5 separate regions of the Mus musculus genome follow, and regions 1, 2, 4 and 5 are each reported to be linked to region 3. Evidence: microRNA targets listed by miRTarBase, many of them from high-throughput screens and not tested one by one. Region 3 holds a microRNA gene; each other region holds the end of a gene's coding sequence. Distances are between the middles of the regions.
The links. Region 3 holds the annotated microRNA mmu-miR-27b-3p (UUCACAGUGGCUAAGUUCUGC, at 2,600-2,620, shown strand). A microRNA usually pairs through its seed, bases 2 to 8, with sites in the 3' UTR of a target mRNA and lowers its output. Matches are read on the target gene's strand: a 7mer-m8 pairs with bases 2 to 8, a 7mer-A1 pairs with bases 2 to 7 and ends in A, and an 8mer does both.

Region 1 (4,000 bases), not on the chromosome of region 3:
CCCAGAGTAGTGGGGGAGGGGAGAGCTCCGCCCAGGGCCTGCTCCTCCATAATGGCCAAGCCCCCAAGGCTCTGCACAAAGCTGGGTTCTTGTGACTATAGGACATAATGATCACTGCAGAGAATAAGCCAAATGTGGGTGTGCATGGGCTCTCAGGTCCCTGCTGCCCGCCTGCCTGCTCTTGCCTTAATGTTCCCTTCCCTTTCCCACAGAGCTAGAGCGAGGAGGTGGGTACTGAGCACACTGGGCAATGAGCCACACTCCCCCTGACACTTCTCTGCCTTCCATGCAGTTTGGACTGTGGGCCTCCTGGCTGGCCTGGCTGGCGATCACCACTCTGGCTTTCCTGAAGGTTTATCACAACTACCGCCAGGAGGACCTGTTGGACAGCCTGGTTCACGAGAAGGAGCTTCTGCTAGCCAGGCCTACCTCCCGCACCTCCTTCCAGGGGGAGAAGAGTGCTGTCATCTAGGCTGTGCAAGGGTGGCCCCCTTTCCTGAGGCCTGCATGGGGAGGGGGCGCTGGGGACCCATCCAGGCTGGCCAACACAGCTCTGCATGTGTCTCTTGGCCCCGCCCACCGTGAGCAGGGCACCTGAGTTCCCATGGAGAGCCTGACAGTGATGGGGCAGAGATCCAGAGACTTGGGGAGGGGGTGACTTCCAGCTTCCAGTCCTGGCCTTTGACGCATACTCCTTCACCCGTGTGACCCTTTGTCTATATATGTGCATGCATGTGAGCATGTGTGTGGATGGGGGTGTGAGTGCAGAACCGAGGTGCCGTCGCCGCCAGGTTAGCAGCCTTTGCACCACCACAGGCTCCAGCGCACGTGGTCCCTGCCCCTTCCATAAGGGGCTGACTTCCCATCCTATAGCACTCAGCCAAGGTTCTCAGAAGGCACTGGAGAAGGCAGCGGGCAGAGGATCCTGGTAGGAATGTGGGACCCTGGGCTGGGCTCCATCCCCTGCTCTGAGAGGCCATCCTGGGCTGCTTGGCTGTCATGGGAGAGTTCCACTCTCCTCCCTTTGAGGCTTTCTAGGTGGCATGGTTCTCTGTGTTGCAAGGGTGAGGCCCCCATGGCCGAAGAGGCCCCGCCCATCTGGATCTCAGTGAGTGCGTTCAATGTTGCTGGCCCTAGTCTGCAGTTGTGCTGCAACGCTGTCCCCAATTTTCAAGCAAGGTGATCCTGACCTGTGTCTGAGGCCAGTGTCCATCTGTGGCTGGTGTGTTTCCAGGTGGAAGGCACAAGCTTCCAGGCTCACTGTGAGGAGCCTTTGTGTGTGTGTGTGTGTGTCAGTTGGGCCCTAAAAATTGAAGCCAGCAAGGATGGTCAGGGTGCTGTGCAAGGGGGTGCCTGTCTGAGGAGGTCAGGGTTGGGCCGACCGACACTCCAGTCTTCTCTGAGGGCTTTGGCCTTGATGAGCTCCCAGAAGAGGATCTGGTCTCCAAACTGACCTGGTCTCTTCTCCACACCCTCACACAAGCCCTAATCTATGGGACATGGCGACACTGCCTAGCCTTGAGAATCCTCTGTTTTCCCAGGATTGGCTCCTTCCTCATCTGCCTCATATCCTTACTAAGGCTGTAGCCCTCTAGGACCTGAAGGAACAGGAGGCTGGATGGGGCCTCTGGGACCTAGGATCTGCCTCAGGTGTGGGTCTACCTTGGCAGCTGCCTCTTTTGGATTCTGGAGAGTTAGTCTGGGATGCCTAGACTTGTCCCCCAGATGTTGGTGTTCCAGGGACTCCTGGGGAAGGGCCTCTGGGCCTAGGAGTGTTGGCAGGACCTGTTGGCTGAAGCCATGGGCAGGGGTGTCTGTCCAAGAGAGGTCTTATGGAATGGATGGCAAGAGACAGGCAGAGGCTGCAGAGAGGTCCCCAGGTTGCCTGCCAGACATCTCTGCTCCTTTCCAGCTTGCTACAGGGAAGCCCTGGTTTCAGTCTTCCTGGAGAAGCTGGTAGTGATGGTAGTGATGCCTCCGTGTGTCTGATCCTCAAGTCAAAATAAAATAAAGACGAAACATCTGAGATGCTGTGTGGATGAGGAGTCTGTGTCTTTGCTAGCCAGCCAGTCCACTCCAGGCCCCCCCACCTCCAGTCTCCACCCCTCCCCACTTGCTCTCAGGCTTAACCAGTCTGACTCCAGGGCTCATGGGGTGGACCTTCATGTCTGTGCATTGTAAGGAGTTTGACTCTTGCAGCTCCCCCCACCATTCCTACGCCCCACCCCACCCCCACCCTGGGCATGAGGATGGGTTTTGGTGACAGCTCTGGGGCACATGCATCTCTGTGTATGTCCTTGAACATTTATTCTAAGACAAAATAAGGCTGGGGAATGTAGCAGTGGCAGACTCTTGGCCTTGCTATGTTGGGTTTGCACCATAAAAAAATGAAACAAAGCAAAGCGAAACCCAAAAAAAAAAAAAAAACCCGAGCTGGGGCTGTTTTGTGGCCCTTACAGAGTGAGTGGGCGAGGCACACTTTTTCTGTGACCTTTGCAGCAAATGCTGGCTATAAGGTGGGAAGCCCTGGCTCTCCATTGTAAAACATGGGGTGAACACTCCCCCTCCTGAAGGGCATCCACCCTCAGAAGCAGGGATGGAAGAGTGGTCTGGAGGTCTGTCATCTCGCCTCTAAGTGTCTGTTTCCATATCTGGAATACAAGCCAGTCAATAATGAGCCTGTCTTTGACCAGGGCAGGATGAGATGGAGCTGGACTGGTGCAGGCAACAGTAACCATGGTGATAGCCAGTCCTGGTGAGTTGCTTTCCAGACTGGTCCTTTTTAGACCACTTCTAGACGCCTTCTAGAGAAGGGTTTTGCTCCACTGGGCTCACACCTACTGTGCTCTCAAATTCTGCATCTGGAGACCACTGTGCAGGGCACCGGAAGGCCAGAGAGGGGCAGATTGCACCTCAGTGATCTGAGAAGCTTGGCATGTCTTGCTGGGGAGGATGTGGTCCTGGGTGCATGGTGGGTCCCCTGACTTCTTGTGGATGACAGCTGCAAGGCACCTGTAGGCTGTGGGGGCGAGTGAGTGGAGGGGTGGGAGTGTGCTCTGGCACCTAGATGAACATGCTTGGACCCGGAGGGATTCTTCCACAGTGTCTCCCTCTGTTTATTTTGCAATCATCCCGAGGTTGAAGAGGCTGCAGGTATTTTAATATGGGGTCCCTGTCTGCCCACCTAAGTAGAGGGGTACCTTAGGACTACCCCCAGTCTTATCCTGGCTCCCAAACCCTGCTCATTTGTTTGTTCCAGGGTGGTACAGGGTCCCCCTTGCGGATCCTCCTGGTGTCCGACTGGGCCTCCCCGCTGAGCTCAGGGCTCCCCCTCCAGGCGGGTCTGGGATGCTCTGAAGCGGTTGCTACACGCTGGTGCTCGCTTCCCCTTGCCTTTCAACATGAGTGACAGAACAGTGTACACAGATGTTCAGGACACTCACAGGGCCTGCAGCTGGTGGGCAGGCCCGATGGCTTTGGGCCTGTGTGTGGCCCCGGAAGAAGACCCTCGGTGCCACACTCCTGTTCTGAGAGCAACTGTGTTCAGAGCTGGACTCTGTTCCCACACCACAGTGACCCCTGACGGATCACTGCGCATGAAGTGGAGGAATTCAGACCTGGGCTCAGAGAAAAGGACAATTCTCATGGGCTCCATGAACTGGAGCGAGAGAGGCACCCTGTCTCGTGATGGTGTGGCAAAAGCTGGGCCCAGCCCTCAAAGCAGCAGGAGATTGGGGCTCGCCTTCCCAAACGCACCCTCAAAGAGCTATGTACGGTAACATCCAGGCTATGGCTCCCAAGACAGAGGACTGGGCAGGAACATAGGAATTCCCGGCTATAATGGTCGAGTTCTTTCTCTGATTCAGTCTTAAAATCCCAAGATCCCAGCCCGTGCTGACTGGAGTAGGAGGTGCCTGTAGCATCGAGCCAGAACCTCCCTCCTTTCCCATTTAAAGGTTGATAGCAACCTCTTAGAGTTCCTGGGTTTGTCAAGCATTGG
Region 2 (4,000 bases), not on the chromosome of region 3:
AAAGATTTCCTGAGAAGCAGCTGACATGTGTTCTGAGATTTCATCCTTTCTGCGTCTCACCCAACACAGTCTGCAGAAACCCTTCTGGACTGGAGTCAAAGCTGCTCCCACAGGCAGGGCAGCAGGGCTGAAGGCTGCAGGTATTTGGAAAAGCTGCGGGTGGGCCTGAGAGCAAGTCAGTTACCACATGTCCCGAGAAGGCCACAAGGGGCAGTGTGGCCGAGGGGAAGGCACTTGCCCTTTCCTGGCTAAGCAGACCACCCTGGCCTTCATGGGATTGTAGGTGTGAGCCTTGTGAAGTCCTGGCCAAGGGGGCTCAGCTCGGGGCAATGCTGCCAGGCTAGGCAGCTCCTCTTTGGCTTAGTCTCCACCCCAGTCTCTGCACATCTTTCTTCATAGCTTTAGCAGACAGAGCAGGGCCTTATGAAGCACATAAATACAGCAGCTGGTGTGGCCACCAGGGCAGGAAAGCCTAAGCACCCGCCCCGGGGTATGGGGTCTGCCCCCGAAGAGGGAAGAGTTTACCGTCAGGTTTGAGCACCTGCCCGGAGTGTGGGGTCTGCCCCCGAAGAGGGAGGAGCGAGTTACAAAGCGCCAGAGCAGAGCGCACTGCGGTCCATCGGCAGGAAGCGGGGAACTAGTTTTTCCTTTTCTGGGCAGCCTTTCTCTTCTTCTGTCGCTTCTTTTTTCCTATCTTTTCTTTTTTCCCCACTTTTTCTTCTCTGCGCCCCCTTAGATAAAATTAGTAGAACCATTAATCACATTGCAACATAGAGGAGTGTATCTATCTCAGTTCCCACAATCTTCATTCAGCATTGCCTTCCGAGTCGATTTAGCTCGGTCTTTGAGTTTGAGGCCTGGAGGCCACTTGGCAAATGTGGTTCACAAGCAATTTATCAAAGAAAACCAGATACTTTCCCCACCCCAAAGTTAAACAGGGGTGCCCTAACCCTATGACCCGGGAACCGCTTACAGGGACTGCCAGTTTGTCTGGCTGGTCCTGGTTTTGAGCATTCCTACCAAAGCTCATCCATCCTGAGACATAAATGCACATCTCAGAGGGCAGGGAAGGAAGCTCTGGGCCTGCCTTCCCTTTCAATGCAGAGGTGAACTCTGCCTTCACTACAAATCTGCATTTCAAATTATACAAAGCAGGGGAGGTGGAGGCCACGGGCTCAGGCAGCCCTCCAAGAGAGGAGGGGGAGAAAGGCAGGATGATTGATCCCACTTCTCTTTTCTGGATGCTGGGGAGCATCCCTAGGGATAACTGAGATTGTTCTAGAGAGCTAAGGAGAAGGATGGTTAGCAGAGTTTTTATTAGAGCAACTGGTTTGTGACTGTCACATTAAAATGATTCAAGCTGAATGGTATTTAATGATTTATGGGGTGAGGCCACCTGTTCCCACAAAAGCCTGATATTAACATGGCCCAGAGTCATGGGATTTTTTTACATGGGAAAATAGGAAAGCTTGATATTACTGGAGTTGAGTCTGGGGATCACATGAGGATGTTAGGAGAACTGAGGAGAAGGAGGAGGAGGGGAAATTAGTGAGTCAAGTATTATTCATTAGAAAACTAGCTTGGGTTAAAAAAAATACACAAAAACTTTCACTGCAGAGGCAGCCTGTTCATGAGACAAGCCTGCCTCAGTGTCTGTCGCTCACCAGGACTGCAGGGCAGCCCACAGCACCTGATCAGCAGGCACACCTGTTTTTCTCCATCTTCAGAAATGTATGTGCACTCCATCTAACAACTAGTAGATTTTATTTCAGGTAAATAAATTCCCACATACGGTAGGAGGTTTACAGCATGAAACAATTAGCATTTTATTGCTAGTGCATATAATGTCACAGTTGATACAATTTCATTCCAAGTGGAAAAATACACCGTGGCTGACACCGGAAAGCTACAATACATTTATATGTCATATATATTTCTTTACAAGTTGCCAGTAGCTCAAGATCATAGAGATATCTACTGGCATTACTATGGCTCCACTTCAAATATATGAATTGACTACAAATATATTCTGAAATACATTTGTCTTCCAAAGAAACATAAAAAGTGCACAAAAATATATGTAAAAAAATGCCTTGTAAATAGTTACCAAAAACCACCAGGGCCGTCTGTGATCATAAGAATGTATGCAAGTTTTATCTTGTCTCCATTTCTGATTGGAACCCAGAATCCCCACTGTGGCTTCATGGCAAGATTCTGGCTTATTCGTTATTATTATTATTATTATTATTTTCATCACTGATATTCGATCAGAGCCCATAGAGCCACTGTTGAAATATATAGGACTCAGGGACAATTACCAAAGTCCAAATCCTCATTTAAACTTCCGTTTATGATTAATTCTCAGACTTGTGTTTTGTGGGTAAATCTAGGCATGTTCTCACATTATCCAGGATGGTCTGGCTCCATTCTACAGGAGGCCAAAGAAAAATCTCACAAAGGGCCCAAGTGAGAGGAAAGCAAAGGGAAGAGAGGGAGGGGGCACCCCACATCACTCTCCTCCCTTCCATTGCAGCATTGGTCCGTCAGGCTACAGAGGTGAGAAGCGGAAGTCAGATGAAGCATGCGTTTGGAGGCAAGCAGAGAGCAGGAACGGCTAGGAAAGGGTCTCTGAGCACAGCTTCAGGGATCACTTCTAAAGGAAGCTTCCCGACCCTGGCACTGAACTGGATAAAGGAGCCTCCCTCTGCCGGATCTTGTGTTGACTCAGGACAAGGCATCTGTCGAGGAGCGCCCCCTGCAGGACAAGCCCTGCAGCGTTCCTCGGACTCTGCTCTGGTGGAAGGTTTCTCTCTAGGGCTCCCTGCAAAGCCACCGTCTATAACTGTGCCCAGAGGCCCCAGGGCAAAGAGAAGCTCCAAAGCAAACTGAATACAGCCCTTGAAGTAATCACTGCTTTTTAAAATGAAGATGAGGATGAGGAGAATGGGGATGAAGCTAACTGGTTAGGGTAATACAATTCCTTAGAAAAACCCCAGTTATAAAAGCTCCATTGTGCACGGGCGAGGGCAGGGATGAATATAAGCTGCAATATCGTACCATATGCTATGGCGGAGTGTCTTTATGCTGGCAAACCTTAGCATGACCCCAGTCAGTGCTGTCCCGCCGGCCATCCTGGCCAGGGTTCAGGCCCTCCTCCCCACCACTGCCCTTGCATCTCCCACGGATGTCAGCCTTCCTCGGGGGTCTACTGGAAAGTCCTTTGGGCTGTTGTGCTTACTTGTTTAAAGCTTTCTCCAGGTACTCTTGGATCCACTTTAATTTCGGGTCAATGCACACTTGTCTGTTGTTGTTCTTCAGCCGTGCACTGCCAAAACACAAGGGGAGAGACGCTGTACAGCCAAGCGGGAGAAAGCGATCCTGTGGGCTCACCCAACACACCCAGCTAAAGGTCCTCACTGCAGGGCCCAGCTGCTGCTCCCGGAAGCTTCAGTTTTGGAAGACATAGCACTTGAATCGTGTTGGGACCACCACCGCAGAGTTAGGGACGTGCTAAGGATGTCTCCCAGGGGACACAGAGAAGAGACCACAGTGGAGGCATTTGAGCTTCTGGCCAAGTTGGAGCTTGGCAAGTGAGGAAAGCTAAAGGAAAAGGAAGGACGAATATCCCACAGGAGTCAAAGTGCCCAAAGGGTGTGGAGGAAGAACCACCCAGAAGGCGCGGATGACTGATATCATGGTGGGGGGGAGGTCTTGGAAAATTCTGGAGAGTGCCAGAAGCAGCCTAAGAACTTTTGACAGAGCACCTTGATAGTACATGGGACAACCTTAAAGGTAGCTCTGGAGGAAGACGGCAGGAGTCCAGAAGGGGAGGAACAGGGCAGTTCAGGTGGGCAAGGAGCAGTCTAGACAAATTGTCCAATGGTTGCCTGAGCGCGTTTACAAGTTCACAGAATGCTTCAAGGTCTTAGCTTTGTGGATTTGTTAATTGACGCCGTGTTCTTTCTCCCATCCCTAGAACTTCCTAATGGGCAGATGAACC
Region 3 (4,150 bases):
CTGTGGCCTGTTAGGTGATGGACTTTGTAAGCAAGCTCATGCCAGCTACCCTTTAGGATGCACTGGCCTGACAGACAAGGTTTTCCATGGTGACCATTTTGAGAGCTCTCTGCCTCTGCCCAGTGTATTCCTGACAATAGCCATCTTGGGATAGCTTGCTACTCGGGCACCGGAGTCGGTTGACAGAATCAATAGAATTCTGTATTTCTGTTGTTTTTTGAGACAAGGTGTCATTGTGTGACTCTGTGTGGCTTAGAACTTGCTATGTAGACCAGGCTGGCCTTGAATTCACAAAGATCGTCCTATTCTTCCTCCCAGTGCTGAGATTAAAGGCCTGTGCTACCATGTTCAGCTTCCATAGAGTGTTGATAAGGACAATGGAGACAGAGTAGAAGGTGCAAGCTTCAGTTGGTCACCTGCACGGCAGCAGGCTCTCTCTCTGTCCTTTGTGCTTTTAGACCAGCTTGTGTAAAGCAATACAAACAAGTCCCCATAAACATGTGCAGCCTCTTACCCCTTTCCCATTCTTCTCTGGCCTTCACGGTCTGCAGGCCATGGGCATATACCTGTATGGGGAGCTGATGGTGAGTGAGGACGCCAGGCTGCAGCAGCTAGCCCACAGGTGCTTTGAGCTGGTGAAGGAACACATGGACAGAGCATCGGCCCAGGTGGTGACTGAAATGCTGTTCTAAAGAGGTAATTCTCTTTTCTTTCTTCTAACCATCCATGTCAATTGGTAAGCCACATGATGAGCCACAGCACCAGAGGGCTGCCAAACGGTCTTGGGGAGGAAGCAGCAAGGTGGGTCCTCAGGAACAGGAAGAAGGCTCAGGATCTCTGGAGCACCTCACCTGCTGGAAGCATGGGTGTGAAGCAGGTACAGCTGAAGGAGCAACAGATCTGGCACTGCTTTAGCCACCCTGGATTTTGCACAGGTCCACAGGCTCCAGGGTCAAGGTCAACACAGCGGTCCATGGCCTCATTGCTCCAGGCTTCAGCATGCAGGCATCTCTCCTAGAGGCTGTGTAAACCTGAGACTCCTTGGCCTCTGGTTCTCTGACCTGTAGAGTAGGCAGCAGGTCTTCTCTGCCCCTCCATCCAAGTGACACTTGCGTCCTAAAGGCAAGTCTGTTTCCATCTCGTGCTGGAACAGGATTTACGCTGGCTCCCAGAGTCCTTGGCTGTGGTGTAACTTGCCTCCTCTGTAGCCAGCTTGTGGACCAGTAATGCAGTTCAGCCACAGGGCGTGGAGTTCTGAGACAGGTGTGGGCTAGTGCGTCTCTTTCATAGTCGCCAGTCATCATCTCTACATCATCCCAGGACATTATCGCTTGCCATGGTGGTACATATGATGTTTACTTTTGTATATGTTTGAAATTTTACATCAATCACTGTGTTACTCTGTTGTTCTCTATGATTACCAATTAATGAATATTTAGAATTGTGTTGCTAATCTTAACCCATTGTCAGACATTAAATTTACATTTTCACATTTCACTTTTATAAAACCCACTTCTGTGTAATGTTTATTTTTCTGAAGAACTACACTGATGAAGGGAAAACATGTTACTATGTATGACCATGTTGTTGCAGAAGAGCTGGGGACCGCCACAGTCAAGCAGGGGAGATAGTGGGCTGGAGTAAGCAGGTACAGCCTGCTAAGCCTGCACACTACAAGCTAGGACGGTGGCCTGTGTGGATAGACAGAGTCGGTCGGGGCGCCTCTTCACTGCCTCCTGCAGACATTTCTCTAGAAACTTGTAAGCTGAGGGATTGTTGGTATGTGGTGTGTGAAGGTCACACAGTAAAGCCACTGTTCCCTTTTTAGGTCCCTAGGCCTTCACTTAGGAAAGCCATAGTCACATAGTGGTCCTAGTGACTCTTCTAAGAGTATTTTTGCCCCCTGAGTGAGCAAATCCTCAACTTGCTAGGTCCCCTATGAGCTCTGTGCTATGCCTCAGCTTATCCAACCAAATGCTTGGTCACAGGCAAGCCAGAGAGATGCTCCCTCCCTACACACCACACCTGCTGTCTGAGGGGCCCAGAGACATCCCAACCCATTCAGTCTGCAATTGGAGAACAGGGTGTGTCCCAGGGTTAAAGGCCACATACTCAGAGCAAGGATGGTCCCTAAGGTATTGGTCTCATAGCTGATAAGTGTGTCCTTTGTCTCCCAGTCCCCTATGCTCCTCTATACAGTGCAGCCAGCGCGCTGAAGGACAGCAGGCTGCACTGCTAGCGTGGTGGGCTCAGAGGCGGTTTGGAGGACACTCAGCACATGTGGATGGGAGTGGTTGGGCATGGTGCTGCCCTCACCTGCTCTGGCTGCTTGGGTTCCTGGCATGCTGATTTGTGACTTGAGATTAAAATCACATTGCCAGGGATTACCACGCAACCATGACCTTGGCTGCTCCTGCAGAACCGTGGCTACTTTCTCTCTGCAGTTTGGAGAACAGAGGCGCCTTGTGGCTCTTTGGAAACAAAAGAAGCCAACAGCCTTCGAAGATGCTCACCAGCCCTTTAATTATGGCCGGCGATGACCTCTCTAACAAGGTGCAGAGCTTAGCTGATTGGTGAACAGTGATTGGTTTCCGCTTTGTTCACAGTGGCTAAGTTCTGCACCTGAAGAGAAGGTGAGATGGGGACAGTTAACTTGCAGCTGCCAGGCAGAGGCCACTGCCTGGTGGTCACTCCAGAGGAGGAGAGACCAGCCTGCCTCAAGGCTGTGTTGTCAAGAGTGCAAACAGCGTGCTGACCACCCTTAAGTGTGTCTACAGAAAATACAGTTCTACTGCTAATTAGTTCACTGTAATGTCAAGTGTATTGGGAGTCACAGAAAACTAAACCCAGGTGCATCAAGGAAACTGAGCCAACCTTGTCTCAGCTGATGCCACACGTGATGGGTGGGGGTGTGGTTCTTTGTCCCTGCTGGGCGTGGTGAACTCTTTCTTGTATTTGCAGTCCAGGTCTCCATGTCTCCACAGTCGCTGGCAAGATGATGCCCAGGGCACGCCAGGAGGCACTGCCCAGCTGTGATTGGACCCGCCCTCCGGTGCCTACTGAGCTGATATCAGTTCTCATTTCACACACTGGCTCAGTTCAGCAGGAACAGGAGTCGAGCCCTTGAGCAAAAAGCCTACCCATCTGTAAGTGCCTGAGGCAGGCCTCCCACGGAGAAGAAGATGAAGGGCCTGAGTGTCTGGTACCAGACCCAACAGCAGTGGTATCCCTCTGTATGTGCTCCCGAGGTGGGGATTTGTAGAGTGCAGAGCTAACCTTGGAAAGTTTGCATTCCCTAGAAGCAGGTAGGGCAGGCGCTGAGCATTTGCCACGTGTTGGGGCAGAGCACACCATGTCACCGCTGCCTTGAGCAGTGAGAATGCCTGTCTGAAGGGCCTTGTCTGTAGAGCCTTTCTGAACCTCTCTGGGCTTCACAGCCCTGCATGGCCTGTGCCGTGACTGTGCACCCCAGACCCAGGATTGTGAGGTGTGGCTTCAGTGTTGCCCCTGTCCTCCCATGAAAAGTTCCCTCTCAAGTGGAGGTCAGAGGCTGGGAGGACTCCTGTTGGAATGGCTGTGGTGACTGGGTAATAAATTTTATTGCTGTTTCCTCCACAGGACAGATCACAGTGAGATTCTCATATACCTTCTCCTAGCCCTGGTGGGGCCAGGACTGCACTGACCCTGGACATCAAAGGGAGGATTATGTGGCTGCTAAGGCCATCAGCCCACAGCAGTGGTTGGTCCATCTTGGGCTTCCAGAGACTGGGCTCCCGTGGCATATATAAAAGGCGGAGCCTCATAAACTGTTGCACCTGGCAGCTGCCTTTGTTCCCAGTCCTAGAGAGACTGAGTCTACACACTGGAATTGAGCTGTGACTTTAAGGCAGTCATTCAATGAAGGACACCCTCCCCTAGGCAGATGGAGAGCCGGTTGCCTGCTTCCTGTGATTGCAAAAACTAGCTGCCATGCTCTGAGACTGCAGAATCATGTGACACCTCCTGTGGCTGGTCCCCAAGGATTCTGCAAAGCCCTTTTGATGTGTTCAGTCAACAGAGCATTCCTGTTTTTGAAAATGCAGGAAAGCCTAAAATGTCTTAATAAAGTACCAGATTTGCTAGTGTTCCAGTTTGCTTCTGAATTTGATGC
Region 4 (4,000 bases), 6.6 Mb from region 3:
AGAATTACTTCAAGTTTGAGGCTGGCCTACATAGTAATTTCCAGGCCAGCCAGGACTGTACAAAGAGACTGTATCCCAAAACAAAATAACAAAGACTTTTAAAAAAGAAATAAAAAATAGTAATTTTTTTAGAGAATCTTTAGGAAGCAAAGAGACGGGACTTTTAAGAGACCAGTGAGTGACAGGGACCCAAGTGCTGCCAGGGAAGTGACCAGAGAAGGTTCGAGGATACTGAGCCAAGCCTCTCGGTGCTCTCTGTGGCAGAAGCACAAATGGCATTGCTGACAGGCGTGCCCTGGACCAGTAAGACTTCACTTCTTCATCTACTCTGTCCTCCCAATGGCGATACTGGCAGGGGATGGAAATGTTTCCCACAGTCCTCTCAGGCATAGGGAGACTGTGAGGTAACCCCAAGTGTTACTTGCACGGTTCATTTCATATTGCAGTGTTACTTTCATTCATACCCCCAAAGGGTGTTTAACTTGGTTGAAGTGTTATATTTAGCAATCTTACTACTGGTTTCATCTTAGAAACTCAGCCACATCTATGACTACTTTTCTTACACCTGCAACCGTGAAACATAGAAAAAAGGGGACACGGATTCCTACTCTGTTCTATTTGTTTGCTCTTTGACTTTTCTTTTTTTATTTTCCTCCAAGACAGTTTCTCTGTGTAGAAGTTGCTCTGTAGACTAGGCTAGCCCCTGCTTCCCGAGTGCTAGAATCAAAGGCATGTGCCACCATTACCCAGCTTTTGATACTTTAGAACTGACTTCCTCCTATAATTTTCTCTAGTTCTGGAAGGCCCACAGCACGCCTACTTACAGCCCTTAAGTTCAGTTGGGTGACATCAGTGAGGTCATCACGCTACGCTGAAGGTATACTAGTCAAATGTACCTCTTGGTCCTGCTTTTCCTAGGCAGCATCTTGTTGCTGTAATCCATCGCTGAGATTTTGATTCTTCCATTTACAACATTTATCAAACTGATGGCAATCTTTATTATTTGCAAATCTTTTTTCCCTGGCAGATACTAATGTATTTTGTATACTAAATACTTGGCAAAGTACATGCCTAGCACGCCTGAAGACTGAGGCTGATCCTTAGCACCACGGAAGCTGGGTATGATGGCGGATGTCTGTCATCCTAGCACTTCAGAGGGTAGAGAACTGAAGGCTACCCTCAGCAACTCAGCATGGTCAGGGTCAGTCTGGGCCCCATCAGAGCCATCTCTGACAAAGACTGTACCGGCACTGGTCTGGTCTGGTGGCTTCTTCAGAGGCCCTACTCCCTGCCCTCTGTGGTTCAGTGCACACTTGCTGTCTTCATCTCACTGTGAGTACTGCCTACCCACAGGCGTCTGTATATCCTTACATACAGTAAGGACAGTACAGGAGCAGGTAGACTACACAGTCTCCATTTACTGACCACAGAATAGGTTGGGATTTCTCCATGAACCTCAGAACAGCTCAGAGCTTCAGTCCTGCCACTGTACAGATGGCAGGCCACATAGGACTCTGCAAGTCCGAGACCTATGACATGAAGACTGTGGAGAGACAACATGTAACCCACTGCTGAAAAAAGGAGCAGGCAAGGCCCTTGTGTCCAGACTTCAGCAGAGCTCACAGACATACACTCACTCAACTCAAGACACGTTCTTACAAACCTGTTCCTGAAGGCTGCCAAGTAAAGGAACATGAACGGTTTCTGCCTCGGCTATAAAGCAGACATCTCTCTCATGGAGCTGACACACTCTTGCTATGGAATACTTATGTCTACAGCTCAAGCTACTGAAGGCTATCAAGGAGCCCTCTCTGAAGGAGCAAAGCCACCCAATGGTTGCACTCTGAAAGGCAATAAATAATGGCACAGAAAACAAAAGGAATCCCCCCCCCCAAAAAAAAAAATAGCTGTTTTCCTCATAAAGGCAGGAAGGGCACTCTAAAAAGTCAAACCAAAATTACATTTTCAGCAGAAGAACCAAGTGGCTCTGTATATTTTCAAAAGGCACCAGAAAAAAACCTTTCTCACTCTGATAGGCAAATGAGGCCTTTTTCTTTATCAAAGTAGTGTCTTCATTCTCAGGCCATGACTGTCCATCTCAGGCCATAACTGCTCCCTAGAAAGTGGTTAAGAGTCCTAAGGACAAGGCACAGTGAACTAGATGAGTGTCTTAAGAGTGTTCACATCCAACAGTGTTGTGGAGATTAGCGTCCATGTAGGTTCTAAAAGGATAAAAAGAAAGAGGCAGAGCGTTGATGCAGAGAGACAAGCCTACACTCTACATTGTCTTGCTATATGACATATGACATGAACTATCCCAATCCCTATTGTGATTCACTTACACCAACAGCCTCATTCTTGGGCCAACCAAAGAGCCTCTACTGGCTACACTGCACGAGTCCTTGTATGACAAGTCTGGTAAGGAGCAAAGGTATTCATACATACATAACCTTTCAATGTCAATAATGCTCATAACATTGTAGGGGACTAACAGGCACCTTAGCTGGAGCTATAGAAGAACAACATTATAAACTACATTGGAAATTAAAGGCTAGAAAAAGCAGCACAGCTCACAGCTGTCATCTCTAAGTGGTCGTGTTGCACAAAGGAGTGCCAAGGCAGCGAGGAGGAGCTCTAAAACCAGGCCACCTAATAGTATTTTACCAGAGGCTACACTAAGACAGTCACCCATAAAAGTGCAAAATGAAAAGATTAATGCACAGGAAAATTAGAGTTCTTGAATTGTTGGCCCAAAGCAGCAAACAATGCTGAACAAGGCCACAGAGCACATAGTAACTAACTGTTAAGTAGGACTTACAACAAATTTGAGTAAATGAGAAATACTTGAAGTTTTTAAAAAGGAATTGTTTTACAAAATATATATGGCATGAAGTCACATTACACTGATGAATATTACCTATATTAAATGTAAATGTATGACGTCCAGAAATCTACCACCTTGCTTTCACTGAACACGTTAGGACTGCAGTGTCCTTCAAACAAGATTCAACAGTTTCCTTTAAGCAAGCCCTACTTTGAGGTTTTGCAAACAATGTATGCTTTTTCAAAGGTGGTAAGGCAAAGAAATTCCCAGAGAAATATCATCTACTGCTTTCCACAATATATGTTCTCTTATAGGATAAAATTTCATTATGTGATGAACTACTTTGTAAAAAAAATTTAACAAATTAAAAAACGTTGGGACAATAAGAAAAAGTACGTTCCAGTTTAAGATCAATGCTAAACATTTCAACAGGGGCAAAATACTCTACATCGTTTACAATACTTTTGAAAGTTAATCACAATGAACACGAATACAAACAAATGTAATATCATCATAAAATACAAATGTGTTGGTCACAATTACGTAGAAAAAATAATATCTGTTTTCCATGTCAGCTCACAGCATCTGTACTGGAAATTCCTCTAAAATTAAAACAAGTCCACTAAAAATATAGTTGAAAGAATACTTCTGCACTATGAAACAGAAGAAATGGGGTTCAGCGGAGAGCCCATCTGAGTAAGGACTTTATCCAGCCACTGCAGAGGCCCGTGGAGGTGAATCTCAATCCAGCAGGGAGTACTGGTGACGTCCTGTCGGTGGTACTCTGCTCCCCAGCCCTGGAAATGAACAGGCAGCAAAGCAAATCGCTCTTGAACAGTCAACAGTCCACACTAACTTTAACAATAAAAAGCTTAACTGCAGAAACACATAAGACTTACTTAAACTACAGAAAACCAGTAAGCACTCACATATGGTATTAAAAGACACATCTGCAGTATTCAACTCTTCAACAAATAACAGAATTTCTCAGACACAGACCCATAGGACTAAGAACATGTTTAACTGTTACAAAAACTCCAGACTATGATCCTTCACAGCTAAATCATGCCGTGCTGTGATACATATTCTCACTGAGTAAATAAAGCCCACGCCCTCATGGGGCAGACTTGGGGGGCTCCTGTCCCTGCGTGTTTGTATCTGATGAGAGAGTATGGA
Region 5 (4,000 bases), not on the chromosome of region 3:
GGGTAGTAACAATGAAAAGTTATGGCAATGGAATCCCCCAAATAACCCCTTGCTCTTGTTAAATAAACGTCCTTATTGGTGTGTTGAGAAGTTGCTTTCCAAATATAAGTATGCTTTGTTATTCCTTACTGACAGTCCTTTCTTCCTTCCACAGGTGAGAACCCCCACATAGGCATCGATATGATAGATAACGACCAAGGATCAAGTAGTCCCAGTAACGATGAGGCAGCAATGGCTGTCATCATGAGCCTCTTGGAAGCAGATGCGGGGCTGGGTGGCCCCGTTGACTTTAGTGACTTGCCATGGCCGCTGTAGACACTACATTTGCTTTGGCAACAGCTGCAGTATCAAAGTGCATTAATGGTGAAGTTTTACAGTCTGTGAAGCTTACTGGATAGAGAGAGAACAGCTTTTATGTACTGACTCCATAAAAGCCACCTCAGAGCCATTGATACAAGTCAATCTACCATGTGTAACTTCAGACAAAGTGGAACTAAACCTGCTCCAGTGTTTCCTCATCATTGAGTTTGGGCTAGCTGTGGATAGCTTGCATTAATTGTATATTTTGGATTTTGTTTGTGTTGAATTTTTTAATCATTGTGCACAGAAGCATCATTGGTAGCTTTTATATGCAAAATGGTCATTTCAGATGTATGGTGTTTTTACACTACAAAGAAGTCCCCCATGTGGATATTTCTTATACTAATTGTATCATAAAGCTGTTTATTCTTCCTTGTAAGAATCCTTTACTATAAATATGGGTTAAAGTATAATGTATTAGACAGTTAAATATTTTTAATAAATGTTTCCCTTGTTCTATAAGTACTGTTCCCAATTGATAATTAGGAAGAAAATCTTCATATGCTACAGGGCTGGTTCATCCACTTCACCAGCGGTCTAAACACATTCCTGCTGTTATGTTTACAATGTCCTTTTGCTCTTATAATGACTTCTTCCATGCTACCAGCTTAGACATATTATAAAAATAGCTCACTTCCAAACTGTAGCCACCTCAACTTATATGAAAACAAAGATATCAACTCCAATTTCCAGTGCTTAGATTTCAAGATTACAAGCTGGCTTCTCTAGACCTGCAGTTACATGGTGTGCTCAAGTCTACCAGGGGTAGATGTAAGCGACGGCATCTGCTCTCTTTCTATGGTCCCATCGACAAACTGAGATGTGATCCCACCAAACTAAAGTTCACTCTGGAAACCAATGGGTTGGTTTACTGGGCTTCCATACAGACACAGGCGAGAGGTTCCCTACAGGTATGCTCCTACTCAAAGGCCACACTAGAAAGCCTTTACTGGGGCTGGAGAGATGGCTCAGCAGTTAAGAGCACTGACTGCTCTTCTGAAGGTCCTGAATTCAAATCCCAGCAACCACATGGAGGCTCACAACCATCCGTAATGAGATCTGGTGCCCTCTTCTGGTGTGTCTGAAGACAGCTACAGTGTACTTACATTTAATAATAAATTAAAAAAAAAAAAAAAAAAGAAAGCCTTTACCCAGCTGAGAAAACAGGTTTCCCATAGGCATCCAGATGGAGCCTTAACCTTTTCCTCATCTTCCCCAGCCTTATATATTCTTATTCCCTCCAAGGCCATGCCCAGTTAAAGGCAGAGTTGTATAGAACTGGAGGCGGAACAGCTGGACACGCAGGTGAGGAAGGTCTTGTGATTGTCTCCACATCTCCTTGGGGGGATATAAACAGTCAAAAAGCCTATCGAGTGTTCTTTTGCAAACAGGCACAGCTGAGCACTCCAAGATGGCAATTCTGTGGCTCAGAGGGCAGTCCTGGACTATTTGTATGGCTACAAAGAGTTAAGTGATCTAAGACCCAAAGCACTTAAAATATGAATCTTTGTTGTAAACCATGAAATATTTAGAGTATTTGATGGAAAGAATATTGAATTAATTAGAAACTAGTTCTGAAAGTTAGGGTTCCTAATACAGGCGTCATTCCATTTTCATATCCTGAAAATCTTGATCAACTGCTTTGGATTTATAGCATTTTTCCTGAACTTATAGGAAATCTAAGTGCCTCTTGCAAATATACCAAAGCGCTTTTAAAACTGTCATTTGAGCCGGGCGTGGTGGCGCACGCCTTTAATCCCAGCACTCGGGAGGCAGAGGCAGGCGTATTTCTGAGTTCGAGGCCAGCCTGGTCTACAAAGTGAGCTCCAGGACAGCCAGGGCTATACAGAGAAACCCTGTCTCGAAAAACCAAAAAAAAAAAAAAAAAAAAAAAAAAAAACTGTCATTTGATTTCTAGTTATACATAACATATATGACACAGAATCTAGCCAAGGTGTTCATAAAGTTGGTCAGAAACATTAAAACAATGAAATTTTATTTTGATGAAAAACTCGAGTTTACAATCATTTAGTAAATGAAGAGCAAACAGTTTGTTTTTCTATCCCATAACTCTTAAGAAAAAAGCATTAGTAAATAAATATATGAACAGATTAAGGATAAGGCAGACTGGACAGTAAACCACCTCTTGACGTTCACCCTCCCTGCATGTGACTCACTCTAATAGGGCTGCAGGGCTCTGGAGATGAGTGAACCAACACTATAAGCATCAAATTTTATCCTAATTGTTTAAATAAACCCAAGATAAATATGTTTTTGCTTGATGTGGGCCAACTATACATACTGTACTGAGGAATACTCTGATAGAAGCACTTATGTTATACTGTGCATCACAGCTCTAAAATGGCTTCAACAGCTCCATTTAACCACCATCTATAAAGTGCAACTTTGTAATATTCATCTTACCTGAGGCAAGATAAATATCAATCTACACTTAAAGTACCCCAGCTGCCAAATTCCCACCACTTCTGAGAAAACCTAGATATGTGAAAAAGGACTGTCCCCATACAAAGAACCAATTTCACAAACCTACTGGTAAACAAATACATTTATAGAACTCGAACGAGGATGCTAAAGTTGTACTCATTAAAAAACCATTCAGCTACCTTTGGTCTTTAAAAAAGCCTACACTGCAGTATCCTAAACATGTGCATCTCACAATGAAGAAAAGTGGCCTCGCAGTGCAGAAGGAGGAGTACGACGTCACTGTGAAGAGTAGCATGCTATGGTTTCAGGAACATCAGCATCACAGCATTGGATTCTGTGCATCAGGATCGAGGTCATTGTTGCCCGAGGCAGGGTGGCTGGGAAGGATATCCAGCTCGTCCACCTGTGGAGTAGGGTGCATGACTACTAGCTGGTCCTGGGGAATGTCTGCAGCAGCTGCTGCCAGATTGGTAATGGATTTACTCTTTACACACTGAAAGTCTACATGCCGACTCTTTCCTTCCTCCTTCTCCCAGGACATTCGAATGAAGGGTCTTTGGACATAATTGTAAATGACTTCTGGACGGCCCCCTGGCCTTTTCTTTACTTTTTCTTTGTAGGTAGGATAGCCTGGAGGAAAGAAAGGAATTTTAAAAGGGGACACTTACAACTTCTCATTCAAGTTAGCTGTTGAGAGCTTTTAAGTTACTTAGTACTCAACCCCCACAAAACACTTTTAAGTGGGACCATGGAGGGTGGCTCTCCATTCAGTGGTGTGTAATCTGCAGTGGGTCTAGGCTTTATCCGAGTACCAGCAGCACTCATTCTCCTCACGGGATGACTGAGCAGAAAGGCCCGAAATTTCTGGCTCCATTAGTCTTCTAGCTTCCTTAAGCTCCAGCCTTATCTTTATATTGCTTTAGAATTTTTGTTAAATAATAAAGAATAATCAGCTCTCTAACAGGTTCTTAAATTCTGCAGCTAGCTTAGCAAGGGCAATATTTTAATATTACACCATTTTATTATGACTTTCGACAGTGAATTAAATTTCTATCTACAAAGAGCTTTACTTAATTATAATTTTTTTGAATCATAGTCACTAAAAGTAACAACTAGTAAAAACAACCCAAAGTTTCAGAAAGCTTTCAATTATTTATTAGTAAAGAGACTTCTCCAAACACATAGAGTCCTAGGA

Region 1: the mRNA of Tmem179 is a reported target of mmu-miR-27b-3p. Seed matches in the 3' UTR shown: 7mer-m8 at 1,260-1,266.
Region 2: the mRNA of Cxcl12 is a reported target of mmu-miR-27b-3p. Seed matches in the 3' UTR shown: 7mer-m8 at 1,848-1,854.
Region 4: miRTarBase lists Smad5 as a target of mmu-miR-27b-3p. The part of its 3' UTR that is shown has no 7-base or 8-base seed match.
Region 5: the mRNA of Arntl is a reported target of mmu-miR-27b-3p. Seed matches in the 3' UTR shown: 7mer-A1 at 379-385.

The regions. Positions count from the first base shown.
Region 1 is chr12:112,498,215-112,502,214 of GRCm38, reverse strand. Tmem179 (transmembrane protein 179) reads left to right here. Exons shown (of 4, transcript NM_178915.3): 4 at 293-2,031. The coding sequence ends at 472. It overlaps A530016L24Rik (RIKEN cDNA A530016L24 gene), which reads right to left. Exons shown (of 5, transcript NM_177039.4): 5 at 2,288-4,000. Among named protein-coding and RNA genes, the nearest start is that of A530016L24Rik, 11 kb to the right of the region's middle.
Region 2 is chr6:117,172,817-117,176,816 of GRCm38, reverse strand. Cxcl12 (chemokine (C-X-C motif) ligand 12) reads right to left here. Exons shown (of 3, transcript NM_021704.3): 3 at 1,748-3,325. The coding sequence ends at 3,235. Among named protein-coding and RNA genes, the nearest start is that of Cxcl12, 6.3 kb to the right of the region's middle.
Region 3 is chr13:63,298,161-63,302,310 of GRCm38, forward strand. Mir27b (microRNA 27b) reads left to right here and starts at 2,552; the gene lies at 2,552-2,624. It overlaps Aopep (aminopeptidase O), which reads left to right. Exons shown (of 16, transcript NM_001289926.1): 16 at 552-4,150. The coding sequence ends at 692. Mir23b (microRNA 23b) reads left to right here and starts at 2,324; the gene lies at 2,324-2,397. Mir3074-1 (microRNA 3074-1) reads right to left here and starts at 3,123; the gene lies at 3,039-3,123. It also overlaps Mir24-1 and a transcript of Fancc not described here.
Region 4 is chr13:56,736,956-56,740,955 of GRCm38, reverse strand. It overlaps Smad5 (SMAD family member 5), which reads right to left. Exons shown (of 7, transcript NM_008541.3): 7 at 1-3,621. The coding sequence ends at 3,478. Among named protein-coding and RNA genes, the nearest start is that of Gm45623, 15 kb to the left of the region's middle.
Region 5 is chr7:113,313,305-113,317,304 of GRCm38, forward strand. Arntl (aryl hydrocarbon receptor nuclear translocator-like) reads left to right here. Exons shown (of 20, transcript NM_007489.4): 20 at 155-822. The coding sequence ends at 315. It overlaps Btbd10 (BTB (POZ) domain containing 10), which reads right to left. Exons shown (of 11, transcript NM_133700.2): 11 at 2,340-3,435. The coding sequence ends at 3,125. Among named protein-coding and RNA genes, the nearest start is that of Gm33721, 54 kb to the left of the region's middle.